2 linked regions of the Caenorhabditis elegans genome follow. The main gene of each other region encodes a partner of the protein of the gene in region 2 in a complex. Each region holds a gene or a part of one and is shown on either strand. Other genes may lie near its edges. The genes, in order: immt-2 and chch-3.

The links.
Region 1: chch-3 (region 2) and immt-2 share a complex: the UniProt entries of both Caenorhabditis elegans proteins name them as parts of the mitochondrial contact site and cristae organizing system (MICOS) complex.

What each region holds. Positions count from the first base shown.
Region 1 is NC_003283.11:16,786,473-16,795,179, forward strand, and holds immt-2 (MICOS complex subunit MIC60-2), read left to right. Parts: upstream 1-2,794; 5' UTR 2,795-2,906; coding exon 2,907-2,930; intron 2,931-2,976; coding exon 2,977-3,114; intron 3,115-3,163; coding exon 3,164-4,012; intron 4,013-4,791; coding exon 4,792-5,058; intron 5,059-5,116; coding exon 5,117-5,211; intron 5,212-5,572; coding exon 5,573-5,935; intron 5,936-5,984; coding exon 5,985-6,213; 3' UTR 6,214-6,301; downstream 6,302-8,707. Other genes in the region: Serine/threonine-protein kinase dkf-2, read left to right, coding at 1-548, 607-692, 1,370-1,501; pus-1 (Pseudouridylate synthase 1 homolog), read right to left, coding at 6,371-6,784, 7,241-7,576, 7,823-8,020, 8,128-8,277, 8,331-8,480; ctps-1 (CTP synthase), read left to right, coding at 8,436-8,487. UniProt on the Caenorhabditis elegans protein: Sustains mitochondrial morphology probably through maintaining cristae morphology. May act as a component of the MICOS complex, a large protein complex of the mitochondria.
Region 2 is NC_003280.10:9,415,405-9,421,981, forward strand, and holds chch-3 (MICOS complex subunit MIC19), read left to right. Parts: upstream 1-1,608; coding exon 1,609-1,691; intron 1,692-1,754; coding exon 1,755-1,920; intron 1,921-1,969; coding exon 1,970-2,113; intron 2,114-2,161; coding exon 2,162-2,224; intron 2,225-2,514; exon of another isoform or gene 2,515-2,603; intron 2,604-2,658; coding exon 2,659-2,712; 3' UTR 2,713-2,912; downstream 2,913-6,577. Other genes in the region: gss-1 (Glutathione synthetase), read right to left, coding at 49-152, 199-869, 922-1,026; M176.4 (lysoplasmalogenase), read left to right, coding at 5,076-5,185, 5,301-5,490, 6,002-6,217, 6,264-6,458. UniProt on the Caenorhabditis elegans protein: Plays a role in maintaining mitochondrial morphology. May act as a component of the MICOS complex, a large protein complex of the mitochondria.

The sequences.
Region 1 (8,707 bases), on a different chromosome or scaffold from region 2:
TGAAGTGCAGATCTTGGAGAAGGTCGACCATCCTGGGGTGGTTCACTTCATGCAGATGCTTGAGACGACTGATCGGATCTTTGTTGTGATGGAGAAGCTGAAGGGTGACATGTTGGAGATGATCTTGTCCAGTGAGAAAGGAAGGCTTTCGGAACGGACTACGCAGTTCCTGGTGGCTCAGATCCTTGAAGCTCTCCGTTACCTTCATCATTTGAATATTGTGCATTGTGACTTGAAACCGGAGAATATCCTTCTCAACTCGAACTCGGACTTCCCACAAGTCAAGCTTTGCGATTTCGGATTCGCTCGAATCATTGGAGAGAAGAGCTTCAGGCGGAGTGTCGTCGGAACGCCTGCCTACCTGGCGCCTGAAGTTCTACGGAACAAGGGATTCAATCGATCGCTCGACATGTGGAGTGTCGGTGTGATTGTCTACGTCTCACTGTCGGGAACGTTCCCGTTCAACGAGGACGAGGATATCAACGATCAGATTCAGAACGCCGAATTCATGTACCCGCCGACACCGTGGAAGGAGATCTCTGAGAATGGTAGGGCGAATACTTTTGTTAGAAAAGAATCTGTGAGATTTATTGAATTCTTTTGCAGCTATCGAATTCATCAACGGACTGCTCCAAGTTAAGATGAGCAAGCGGTATACGGTGACGAAAGCGCAGTCGCAGATCTGGATGCAGGTAGGCATATGGAGACCTTTTTTGGGTCTCGCAGCGAAAATTTTTTCGAGCTGAAAAAGTTAAAAAAAGAAAATTAAAGATTTTTTCTGTGAATTGAAAGCTGAACTTTTTTTTACTTTCTACTGTAAAAATTGTGAAAAAAAATTCTAAAATATTTTTTTAACGAAAATTTAAAATTTTCAAAATTTGGGGAAAAAACACAAAAATCAGGAAAAAATACGAAAATCTCTTTTTTTTTAATTTGAAAAAATCCGAAACATCGGCTTTAAAAAATTTCGAATTTAGAAAAAATGTTTGAAATTTTTTTTTAATAGCAAAAAAAAGTTTTACCTGCAAAAAATCGGGAAAAAAATCCGAAAAACTTAGAAAAAAATTGTATTTTTTTAATTTGCAATCATTTTAAAATCATATGAAATTTAGAAAAATCCAAAAAAAGTAAAGAAAAATTGCAAAAAAAAATAATTTTAATCCAAAAATCCGAAAAAAAATTTACTTACAGAAAAATCGGTTTAAACATTTTTTTAAGGATAAATAAAAATTGTTTTAAGCGCAAAAATCCTTTGAAAAAAAATAATACAAATTGCAAAAAATGCATTTTTTTTTTGTTGGTTTTTCAATAAAAAATAATTTCGAAAATTAATTTTTTTACGAAAAAATTGAAAAACTTTTTTTTTCAGAACTACACCCTATGGTCGGATCTACGAGTACTGGAAAAAGCTGTCGGTCAACGATTCGTAACTCATGAAAGTGATGATGTGAGGTGGCAGGCTTACGAAAAAGAGCACAATGTGACTCCGGTCTACGTATAATATCCAGCAGCAGGACCCCCAGAGAAACTTTTCATATTTTTTGCATCTTCTTGTCACATATCCATTTAAATTTTATTTCGTTTTTTCTTGTTTCATAATTTTTTTTCCAAATTTTCTCACTCACATTCCCTGTGTTCCCACACCCATTTCTTAAAACATTCCTAGTCGAAAAATCCTCCTAATTTTTACGTTTTTCCCCGTTTTTCACCAAAAAATCGGAATCCAACCCCCACCCAGCGCACACAAAATTTGCCATATGATCCTCGAAAATTTCCCGATTTTTTTCCAAATTTGTCCAATTTTTACCAAAATTTGTTCTTTTCTATTCACTTTTCACCGCAAAAAATGTTTGAAATTTCATCAGATTTTCTTGTCTAATGATACGCCCGAAGATTTATTTATATATGTGTATGTTTTGATTGAATTATTACTTTTTCTTTATTGAATGAATTGGTGTAACTGAAAATATATTTTATATTTTTTTGCAAACAAACAATGACAATTTGATCGAAACAAATGAGGAAACAAATTTTTTTATTTTTTCTTCCAAAATTGTTCCATCAGAAAAGCTAGATTTTCCAATAATTTAGACACAAGTTGTTAGGGCTAGATTGTTTTGTTCTGGAAGTTCAAATTTCTGAGAAAAATCATTTTCCAAGTTTCAACTATAGAAATCGCACCTAAAAAATTGTTTTTGAATTATTGGAAAATCTAGCTGTCCTGTTGAAGCAAATTTGCATTTTTTGGAAAATACTTAAGACAAACATTTATTTCAGCTAGATTGTTTTGTTCTGGAAGTTCAAATTTCTGAGAAAAATCATTTTCCAAGTTTCAACTATAGAAATCGCACCTAAAAAATTGTTTTTGAATTATTGGAAAATCTAGCTGTCCTGTTGAAGCAAATTTGCATTTTTTGGAAAATACTTAAGACAAACATTTATTTCAGCTAGATTGTTTTGTTCTGGAAGTTCAAATTTTCGAATTAGAAATCGAACCTAAAAAATTGTTTTTGAAATATTGGAAAATCTCGCTGTTAGAACGCCAGATTAAACTAAAAAGTTAGAACGCCAGATTAAATTATGCAGCAACCACCATGAAGTCGCTGCCGATGAGCTTTTGTGCGCGCTTGGGTGCCGATTTGAAATCAATTAGCTGAGAGGAAACCATTTTTCCAATGAAGACTCTTCTGCTTCGCTGAAATTTGCCAAAAAATGTCAAAAAATCTATCGAGTTCACAATCCAGGACTACGGTAGACTTTGAAATCTGCATTCTGACGTGACCGTGTACACGAAAGTACGTGACACGTCAAACAGATTTAAAAATCTTTTTTATATAATTTTTCCAATTTTTCAATCATTTCGAGCGGTTTTGAGTGTTATTCTTCAGATTTTTAATTCAAAAGTCATGCGTGGAAGTCGTAATTTATTGGTATGTTCATATTTATTAAATATTAATCAAATTCGGGAACTTTCAGACTCAGCGACTGGCTTCTTCTCGAGCAACTGGTTCTTCGGGAGGTCTCAAGTTTGTCGGAGCCACTGTTGGAGCGGTAACTGCTGGTGCAGCAGGAGTTGCTGGATACGCTTCTTATGATAATGAGTTCAGAAAGAAGGTTTTAAAATTTAAAATTAAAAAAAAACAAAAAAAAAATCAAATTCCAGCTAGAAGGCGTGATTCCCGGTTCTCGAACTATTTTGAATTACACGATCGGAGAAGAAGAACCGCCGGCGCCTCGTCTTAAAGATCTTCGACCTCTGCAATATTCCGCAGATCCGAAAGTTCCACCAAAGCCATTTGAGCCGAAGCCCGTGAAAAAAGAGCTGATCGGAGTTAAGGAGAACCTGAAAGAGACTACTGAACCAAAGAAAATCGAGAAAAAGCCCGAAAATCCATACATCGGCGCGAAGACTCCACTGAATCCCCAGGAAAGGAACGAAAAGCTCACGGAATCCCTGAAAAACCACCTAACTCAAGCCGAAAAAGCCACGAAAGTTGCGACTAGCGCCAAATTGGAAACGATTCGAGCTATTGAGCATCACGTTCAGACAATTCGTGAGGCTATTGAAGCTGGAAAAGACGGAGATTGGGATTCAGTGACTGTTGCTCATCTGAAGGCAAAACGGCTCGCTGAAAAGGATGAAAAAGCCGAGAAATTGGCTAGAAATGCCGTCGCTGACCTTGTCACGGAGGCAAACCTCGGCGGTCAAGGTGAGACTACTCAGCTGAATCCACTGGTTCCAATCTCAAAAGCAACTGCTGAAAAGCTCTCAAACGAGCTGGATGAGATGATTTCAAACGTGAAACATGTCGATTCGGAGCGTATTTTCGTGCATGACTACAGTGATCGTGTAGCGGAGAGCCGCAGGAAATTCCAAATGGAACTGAAAGCAGTTCATCCGAATTTGAATTATGAAGATGGAATGAAGATCAAAAAAGCGGATTTGCACACGATTTTGGCTCATGCTCACTTGAGAATTGATCAGCTCAGCCAGAAATTGATTGATAGCAAGGCAAATATTCATTTTTTTGGCATAGTTGTAAAGAAAATTGCGTTTAAATCTCAATTTCTCCTCTAAAGTCGATTTTTCGAATTTTTCCTGTGAATTAATGCATTTTTTCCTGAAAATTTTGAAAAAAGAACGAAAAAAAATTGAAAATTATGTGTGTCGATTTACGCAGCTCGTGTACTCCCCGAGGAGAAGTTTTATTACAGTTTTTCAGCTGAAATGCTTGATTTTGGACTATTTTCACCTAAATTTAATAGCCAAATCGCAAATTTATCACATTTTACTATTCCACTAGAAAAAAGAAAAATTCCAGTTTTCAAATAGTTAAACCGCAAAATGTGGTTTTTATGTATCTCTAAAAAATAAAAAGCGATAGTTATGTGAAAATTGTCGGTTTGGCTTTTGAAAACAGGCAAGAATGGTCTAAAATCGCGAATTTCAGCTGAAAACTTTAAAAAAAACTTCTCCACGGGGAGTACACGATTGGCGTAAATCTACACGAGACGCTGGAAGAGTTTTACACGGTCATTCTGCAATTCTGGCATTTTTTCCGATTTTCCGGAAAATATAAAATTTTTTATAGAAAATTAACAATTAAATTCAATTTAAAAAAACATGATTTTCTTAATTCAAAAATTAAAGCCTTTTTTTGAAAATCTGTTTTTTTCAGATTTCAATGAAAAATGTTAATTTTCCCGATTTTTCAACAAATTTCCTCAAAAAGAAACCAAATTTTAAATGTTTCAGCTCCGAATTCCCGTTTTTTATCGATTTTTTTCCAGCTAAACGAGGAAAAACGCATCCAATCGATCATTGCAAAGAAGAAGGAAGATCTTCTCGAAAAGCTTCGTCTCGAGACCAATGCCAAACAGGCCGCAGTGATCCCAGAGTTCGATAAGAAGAAGCTCGACGCGGAGCTCGCTCGTGCCACTGCTGAAATTCAGAAAAAATACGACGAAAAGCTGAAAGAAGTCGTTCGAACTCAGAAGCAGCTGTACGATATTGAGCACGCGAAGGATGTAGATGAAGCTGTTCTGAAGGAGAGAAATGTATAAAATTAACGATTTTTCCGGATTTTATTTGTTTAAAAATTGAAAAAAATTTCAGCTCCACTCGTCGGCGGTCGGAAAAGCGTTGGCTCAGCTGGCTGGAATTGAAAAAGCGCTTTCTGGACATCTTCAAATGGATATTGAGAATAGAAAGTACTGGATTTAATGTCGATTTACGCGGGCTCTTGTACTACACGACGAGAATTTTAAAGTTTTTTTTCTGAAAATCTCAATTTTGGAGTACTTTTCCTGCTCTTTACCCTTTAAAATGACCAAAATATCCTATTTTTGGCTGAAATTTTTGGTATTTGGCAATTTTTGCTTGATTTTAGCATTCCAAATAGTCAAAATATCGATTTTCATTTAAAACTCGATGAATTATTGATATTTTGACTTTTTTTTTAGTTAAATTCAAGCGTAAACAGTCCAAAATCGACAATTTCAATCAAAATCCGCCAACTTGTGCGAAAATGTTTTGAATCAAAATCTGAAAAAAATCCCACCATTTTTCCAGATCGAAACAAATGTGGCTAGCCACCCAAAATCTGAAGGGAACTGTAATTTTCGGAAATCGAGCCAGCTGCTGCATGGAGGGAAGACGTGCTCCACTGGGAGATCAAATGAAGACACTTCTCTCGTGCTGTGGTGGTGGAAACTCTGATGAATTCGTGAAAACCATCAATACGGCAATGTCGAAAACCTCAAAAGTCCGCGGGGAGTACACGGAGCAGGATCTGAACACACGCTTCAACAAAGTCTGCCGAATCGGACGTCGTGTTGCCTATGTCAATGAAGGTGGAGCTCTGGCTCATCTCTACTCGTGGCTCAAGTCTTCCCTGACTATTGAGCTCGTCCCGAAGAAGGGTGCTAATGAGAGGTAGTAGTGTCTGAAATGATATCTATCTGTAAAAAAACTATAATTTCAGCCTGACCCCAGCTGTCGAGAACAACTTCACCTTGCTCACACGTGCCGAGCAACTCTGGAAGTCTGGCAAAAAGTCCGACGCGATTCGTGTTCTTCAGCTGACCGACGGGGCCACCCGTAGAGTTGCTGCCGATTTCATCGCTGATGCTCGCCGCCAACACGAGGCACTTCTTCTTTCACGTCTTCTGCTCGCCCACGCGGCTCTCACCTCCATTCGTTCCACTTATTAATAATTATTGAATATGCCAAGTAGTACGTCGTCTGTTGTCTGTCTGAGAATTATGTGTTCTCTCAAAATAATAAAATTATTATTATTTTTTACTTTTAAACAATTTATCAATCAACAAAAACAACAAATTTTACAGCAGTTAAATCAAAAATTATAAATTATCCAGACGACGTCGCTGCTACTGGCTCAGGAGTGACTTCTGCTGGAGCCTCGGCTTCCTTCGGAGCATCTTGAGCCTCTGGAGCAACACCATCCTGCTCCTTGGCCGCCTTGCTCGCACAAGCCGCCGCCATCGTCACAAAAGTCTTCTTCTCGGGCTCCTCAGCTTCCGCATTAGCCGTGAAGTCGTGATGAACAAGATCCGCAAGCCATTTGAGCATTCCCTGAGTGAGCAGCTCCGTCTCGATCATATCCTTGGTGATGAGCTCGAACTTGGTCCGCTCGATTTCTTTTTCGATGATCTCTCCCCAATCGGTCAGTGGTTCGTGGGATTTTGAATTCTTTCGATCGTAGGAATCGTAATGAGTCCGCTCGAGGAGGAGACCCAGTCCTGGAGCCATTGGGATATCCATCTGAAATTTTTTATTTTTTTAAGTTTAAAAGTTTTCGGCTAAAATGCTAGATTTTTGCACTTTTTAATCTCTTTTTCATTTGGATTTCGTTAGAAATTAATTATTTTCGTCTAAAAAAGGTGTTAAACTCGTGAAAAAGCGGCAAAATTGCGCGAAAACTGTTAAATTTTGCGGAAAATAATTCGAAATTGTCCACGAGGAGTACACGCTTGCGTAAATCTACACAATTCTTAAAGGGACATGTACCTCGTGCGCGTGATCTCGCAACGATGCGCGTTTGCCGCTTCAAAATAGGGTTTTTAAAATATTTTTTGGTGAAAAAGATTTAAAAAAACACAAATAATGTTATATTTTCACACTTTCGACGCGAAAATATCGAAAAAATGTTTAAAAATTGTGTTTTTTCGACTGTTTGAAGTTGAAAAAACACCGAAAAAACAGGAAAAAAACACGAACTCGCTGTCCCTCGAATGATCTTTGAATCGACGACTTTAAATGCAGTTCCCGAATGACTGTAATCACCATTCCGACCATTTTTCGAATCTGATGAAGTACAAATGATTGTCCTTTAATCACAATTTGCACGAATTCCACGTCTTCTTTACGAAAATCGTCACGAAAAAGGAATGGTTCTTTGCATTCGAATGAGATAATGTATCGATTGGAGCTCATATCATCGTAGGCTCTTTTAGCGGTATAATTGAAGAAATTGTGGGTTCCGAGGTAGATTGAGAGAATACTGTTCACCTCTGCCAAGGTTTCCGGGGAAAGTCGGAAAGAGGAGTTGGTGAGCTGGAAAATCAAGAATTTTTAGAGATTCTCACGGAATATCAGCGGGAAATTCGATTTTTCGATCAATTTTTGCCCGAAAATACAGGTTTCCAGTCTTTTTTCGCCTGAAAACTTGATTTTTCAGTCTATTTCCGCAGAAAATTCACATTTTCAGCGTGAAACTAAAATTTTCGGTCAAACTTTGCCGGGAAATTCAATTTTTCAGCTAATTTTCGGCGAAAAATCCAAATTTAGCCTCTTCTATACCTCCGTAGGCTTTGCAAACACAAAAGATGGACACGTGTAGCTATAGGTTCGATGATCACACTGCTTCTGTGGATGGAAGAAATTCGTGGTCCGACGCATTCCAAAAACACGAATATCGGCTGGAAGAATGTTGTTAAGAATTCCAGCTCCCTCAGCTTGATACTTGGCGTCATCTCTGGGTAGTTGCATTCCGCACATCTGGAAAAATGATATAAAATTCGCTATTTTTTCCTTTTTTCAATGAAGTTTTTCGGCTTTTCAGTGAAAAAAACACTGATAACAGCAGCAAATTAGTAAACTCCAACCTGTCTAGCAGCTGATACTGCCCTATCAGTTCTCGCCGCTCTTTGAAAAAAGAAATCAAATGGTTTTTCTTTTTGAGCGGTCGTGATCCAACCGGCCGTCTCCATTGCCTCAAGAAGCTTTGATTCAATTGTGGGCAGGTCTTTTTGAAGCTAAAAATTAATTAAAATTTATCAATTTTGACCTTTTTTTTATCTTATCAGACCTGCATGCCGTAGTATTTTTTGCCTTGATAGCCTAAAAGCATCGCATATTTTGCCTGCTTTACTCTTGGCTTTTTAGGTTCCTTGTGCACACCACCCGATTGAACATGGTTGAGCTTGTCGACGGTTTGCTCCTCAACGGTTTTTGTCATGATTCGGGTGAGCCTTTGGAGCAGTTGTTTGAGCATAAAATAGGGCGAATGCCGGCTGAAAGAATTAAATTTTTGATTTTAACAAAAGAAAATAGCGAAAAAGATCACAAAGTATCAAAATAAGACGAGAAACTTAAAAAGAAAAAACGCAAATATTAAATACAAAAATCGAAGGCAAAGTCACGCCATGGGTGCCTGCTGGCGCACTTCGTGCCAGTGTCATTGGC
Region 2 (6,577 bases):
GAGTTATATCAGAAAAATTTAGCTAAACGTTGATAAAATTGTGCTAACCTTTTGTAGATGGATAATGATCAGGTGAGTATCCTGCTCTGAAGTAAACAATTGCTACTTGACGCCCATCAATCATCAAATCGCTTCTATCATTCAATGATAATCTGAAAGTTTTAACATAGAATTCTGTATTCAAATACAAAAACTTACTGTTCATAGCATTGTGTTAAATTTCTTCTAATAATACATGTCATCGGTACTCCTAACTTTTCAAGTTCATATTCCACGTGGCGTTGATCAATCTGATTTTGATTGACGTTTTCTACAACGACAAGAACCACAGCTGCTGGGTTCGAAAAGTGGGACCAGGCCTTGAATAAAGCTTCAGCGATCATTGGAATTGGCTTGTTTTCTGGAATTGCTCTTTGAATGACGTCATCGGAAATGTTCAACGCTTTAAGAACTCTGATATGCCATTCGGTGAGCCGTAGAGCATGTGCTCCCATTGACGAGGCGATATTGTTTATTTCAATTTGTTTCAGTCCATATTCCGCTGAATATTGATCCTTATGACACATATAATCAGATCGTTGAATCGCGAGAGTGACTGGTTGCTTGAGTCCTTGGGCTTTGACTTTCTTCAAGATCTCAACCATATTCCGTGTGAAATCATCAGTTTTCACGACATTTTTATGAATATCGATTAGAAAATCAAATTCATAAGCTATGAAGTGATAAAGACTTGCGAAAAGGTTCTGAATATGAACTGCTTCTTCAAAAACATTTTTCGGGAATGGAGATGGAAGAAGTGTTAATGGAGTAGTTTGACAAACTTCGCTGCTCAACTTGTCGGTTGATAGACGCATGACAAGCCCATTAGCCTGAAAGATGTTTAAAATTCATTGAAATTCGGAAATTAAGAAAAAAACTTACATGAGCCCAATCGTGAAGATCAGCGGTGAGCTCGTTGAGCTTATCATCTTCGAGCGGGAGCCTTGGAGCATTCAACAGCAAAATCCGGTCATCTTTTTGAGCCATTCTTGAAAAATTACGAATTATTTTTTCAGTTTTAAATAAATGCTTTCGAAAAATGCAAAACATGACGCGAGAGTGACAAAAATGAAATTAAGCGAGAATGAAATGAGAAAAGTGAGCACTGAAATCGTGATGACAAAACGTATAACGTGAGGTTTCTATGTTTTGTCATCATTTCTCTTTGAAGGAAGTCGGAGATATTGCTTTTCGAGTGGTAAAAGGAGGTTTGAACGAGTTTATGATAAAATCTTGGATGCTTATTTGTTGTAATTGACATGAATAATAGTTATTACATGAATTTAACAGGAAAATTTGAAAAAAAGAAAGGGATTGGCATGAAATTTGCTCCCGAAAACAAAGAACTCAAAGAGCAAAAATCATTTTGGTGCTAAACGTCACGTTTTGCGTCAAGGAGCTGCTGGCGCACATCTCGTGCACGAGTATTGCGCTAGCTATTTATTTTACGCTAATTTTTTGTTTCTATCAAAATTATTTTTCTACACACAAAACAACAAATAAACAATTCAATTTTTTATATTTAATTTCTCGTGTCTGTTTAAACTTTTATTAATCGATAATTGTCAGATGGGAGCATCCCAGAGTGCAGAACAAGAGGCACGTCCCGAAGTGGTGCGCATTGACCGAAATGAGATTCCCGAGGAGTACAAGTGAGTTTTTTACGTTGGGAATTCTTTTGAAACTAGGAAGTTTTTATTTATTCAACGTTTCAGAACCGTCGGTGTATCATCGGACGTTGTGAGCCGAGTCAATGCGACCAGAGTTGCCGGAAACGACGGAGAAAGTGACCGTCTCAGACAAGAATTGGCTCGAGAGCGTGAAGAAAAAGCTAGATTAAGAGAAGATATGGCTAAGCTCAGTCAGCTGCAACAGAGAAAGGTAAAAATCAAAAAATCTTTCCTGATAGGATTAAACTTAAAAGTTTCAGACCGCTGGAATTTCCGCCGCCCCAGTTTCGATTTCCGGAAATGATTTGGAGGAGAGAAAGAAAATTTTCGATGACACTGTTGAACGCGTTCAGAAGCAATTCTTCGCTTATCACCGTGAAAATGTGTGCCAGGATAATGAAAATGTAATTTTTAATTTGAGAAAGTTTTTGAGAATATCCAACATTTTTCAGGAGATTGTAAGATGTCTTCAAGAAAATCCAGGACGTGTTTTGAAGTGTGCTCCACTTACTGAGGTAAACTTGGGAAATTTTTTAGAATCACGAGCAAAGTAAAAAATTAAAATTTAAAAAAATATAAAAGTTGTGAAAATTGTTTTAAAACAATCACTAACCCACTTGAATTATTTGAAGTCTTGCATAACTCTCAAATTGGGAATAATTTTGAAACTATTTTTTTTGTTTTCATTTCAACTTAGGAAAAACTAAAGTATCTAAATACCAGGAAGGTTTTTTTTTTAATTTTTCAAAAAATTGAAGATTTCCGAAAATGAAAGTTTTGGCAAAATTCCAAAATTTATGAACATTTAGAGTAAATTTTGAAGGCATATCCTTTTCATCCCTCTAAAAAACACAAATACTAGTTCAATAAAACAAACAATTGTTTACATAGTTTGTAGGCTACAATTAATTAAATTGTGATACAAATTATTTTCTTTTTATAATTTCAGGCATTCGAGAAATGTGTCGGCGAGTTCAGGCAACAAGTGCTCAAGGGAAATTAAATTTCTTCATATCGATTTTTAAATACATTGTTTCATATTTCCCCACATTTTTTTGATCGTAGTGTTGTATAGGTGTGTGTGCGTGCCCCGTTTTCTCAAAACTTGTATTTCCCCCTCAGCCTCCCACCCAAAAACTTTTGCTTTTTTATTTCAAATTTTTTTGTTCCACGAACGAAACAATAAACTTCTAGGGAACTTTTAAATCCGTTTTCAAGTTATATATTCCAAAATCAAAACAGGCATTTCGCTCCTGTACCCATCTTTCCCCTTACTTAATTTTCAGATATTTTTCACTATATTTTCAGAATATTTAAAAAATCAGCTACGCGTTGTAGCAAATTTTTTTTGGTACACAAACACAGCTGATAACAACAGGACACACAACGCAGTGGGACTGATGATGGGCGGTTCCGTATTATCACCAGAAAAATGAGGTAAAACGGGTTATTTTTGAATAGATTTCAGATTTGATTCTCGCCAGTACACCTGACTAGGTTCGAATTTATTACTGTGTGGTCTTGTTGACTTTCAAGATTCTAACTTTTTAAAACTATTATATGGACACCTCGTTTACGTAGTCGTCTACAGATAACATGGTCTCGCCACGATCAACGGGTTACTGTAACTCTTGTCGATTTACGGGCCAATATTGCCTTGTCGTTTTAAAATTTGATGAATAACTTGTTAAATACAAATATAATGCAAAAGCGACTCGTAAATTGATAGGAAGTACAGTAACTTGTTGTTGTCCTCGTGGCAAGACCCATGTAGAAGATAACTTCACGCAATGGTCAATAACGCTTTATCTGGAGAGCTAGGGAGCCACCAACCAAATCTCTAGTCGTCTGGTCAATGTTTCCGAACGCACAACACTCACATTTTTCGCGCATTTTTCGTTCTAGTCGCCTCCCATGTCTTCATCTTCGCTTCCATTCTTCTTTCTTTTTTTTTGCTCCGAATGCGTTGTAGAAAAAAGTTTTTTCCAAAGTAGCAAAACGTAGCTCCATTTTTAATTCGAAAAGAACATAAATAGTCAAACTGCTTGCAAAGCAAACAAAAATCGTTTCCAGTGCCTTTTCTTAACTGATAAATATGAAATCGATTTTTTCCTGGAACAAATCAAATTTAACTAGTTCACCAATTTGAGAACAAAAATCATACAAATTTGTGACCGCGGAAGTGACGATAAAGTTCAAACAAACACTTGTTCCTTCCTATCATTGTCACGTGCCACGTGCTCACAGGATCCGGAGCCAACCCCTGAAGCATACCACAAAAGTGCACCTGACGTCTCACGCAGTTTCAGGTTAACTATCAAATTTCAGTCCTTCACTATTTCTCTTTAGAACAATTTTATCGTCCACAAAATCTAAAATCTTAACGCCTCATCCAATTAACTTCAACCTTCAAGATAACTGTAACATTCACACTTGAATCCAATTAAGTGTATCAAATTGTGTAATAACTTATTGCCAAGAAACGAGAATATATTGAGATGTTGGAAGGTTGGACACCTTTATTTACGTGTTACACACCTCCCTCTCAAATTTCCGCTTCATCCTCTTGTCGGAAGAGGTCGATGGAACTGGTTTACGCGTTTTTTATTTGGCGCAGTACAAAAAAAACACCTCTGAAAAATATGAGGTTATTGTCATTGGTTTTGAAGATTATTAGGTCTATATTTAGGTTCTTTATTTTTTTGTTGGAACGACTATTTTATTTTGAAACTTGTGTCTTCAAATGATAGTTAAAAGTTTAACGATGATTTTGAAAACTTTGGAGAATTGCCAAATTGGCCAGTTTTTGATAAATTACAAAATTTTCTTTTGTTTTGTACAGTAAATGGAATAATTTCAAACTAAATACAATTTTGCTTAAATTAATTCGTCTATCAGCATAGTGTTTTGCAGAAAAAAGACTTGTAGCTGGCTCCAACCACAAGATTCAAATAGTGATTCCTCGATCTGCAAAACTAGAGAATAGCCAATATAGTCAAGGTTCACCGCTATCAATTTCGACGACAGAAAAGTATGATGATAAGACTATCGTTGAACTCTTACTACTGCAAAAACCAACACTTGAATCCTGAAACGAATTCCTGTTTCCATCACTTTGTTGTTTTTCTAGCTTATTAGAATACGAAAGTTACATCATTTCCACTCGAGACCCTAATTGACATACCCTTCTGAAAACTAGTGCACTTAGAACATCTTACCTCCCCTTATTGGACGCTCTCGATATTAAAGTACAAGTCATTCTAAAAAGTATGTATTAGAAAATTGTCTAGCTTTAAACGTGCCCCATATTTTGTTAAAATTAATTTCCCGGCATCAATTTTTTGTTTATTTTTTTAATTCTTCCAGATGCAGTCACAGCTTTCTTCAATTGGATTGGCTTATTTCCTATTGGTAGCCAACTTTTACTACCAATCAAATGGTTTCAATGATCACTACACATTCAGCTATTCCTTTTGGTGAGTGTATATAAATTGATAACAGATTGATATAATTTCAAAGGTTCAAAGGTTTTTTTAAAATGTACATTAAAGTTCAATATTTATACTTTCATAATGTACCAAAATGTTTTAGGAAAATAACTCCAATCATTCTACTTGTTGCTTTTGCATACTTAAATGGAGGTGGACTAGGAAAAGAGCAACGCAAAACTGCTGCCGCTGGCTTGTTCTTCGGAGGAGTCGGTGATTGGATTATTGGAATGCGCCATGATGGAATCATTTTGGGAGCTGTCGCTTTTGGAATTGGTCACCTCTTTTACTTGGTGAGTTTGGTCATTGAAGACATAATTTCGAGATGTAACAATCAAATATCATGTACGTGGTACTTTGACACTTAGATATTAACTCGGTCCAGAAGAAAAATTTGGGTAGAAGATTGACAAAAGATAGGCATCTAAACTTGGGCCTGGTCGAAGCCAAGTTTCACCCAAGTGTGGATTAAGTTTATATTCCGAACCAAGATAAGAATTTTCGGACAATGCTAAGCATGTGGTTGTTGCCCAAATACCAAGTTTAATAAAGGAAAAATTCGTAAATATAGATTTCTCCAATATTTTTTTATCAACAGATCAATTTGACAGTAATTCAGAGTTTCAAAAGGTTATTATTACACAAAAAGATTATAAAGAACATTGTTAGTAGTCTTTAAAAAAATAATCGGGGGATATTCAGAGAATCGCTAACTATTTTCTAAAAATTGGAGAAATGTCAAAGAACAGTTTCTGAAATTTTTTACCTATGCTCAGAATTATCAATTATCACAGAGCTTTTCAGAGTCTCTACCGGCAACATGCCACCAAAATTCATACAAAGTTCCTTCTTGGAATGTTGGCATGGGCTTTAGTCATTGGACAACTTTGCTTCATTCCGATGCTTGCTGATCATAGAGGCCCATTGACTGTCTTTGCCAGTTATTCACTTCTTCTATCAACGTGTACGTTGATAGCTGTCTCACAGTATCTCAATGGATCAAAGTCACAGAATGAAGAGGTTTGATTTAACTGCACATTTGATATAATACAATTTTCTATTGCAGGGGCTCCTCTACCGTGCCATTGGCTTCTTCCTCTTCTACATCTCAGACTCGGTGCTCATGCTCTCACACACTGGATATTGGAAGTTGGCTCCATCATTCTGTGTCCTCTCAACCTACTACTCTGCTCAATATTTCATTCTTTTTGGAAATACGATGGCTGTGAACCCTGTGAAAAAATCTGTAAAAATCAACTGATGATCACTAACTTCTGAACCTGTACATATTCTATTTACAGTGTATTTCTCCCTTTTTCCTATTTTTTGAAAATATTTCTTACAATTATGACTAGACTACCTAATGTCAGAAGCTTTAAT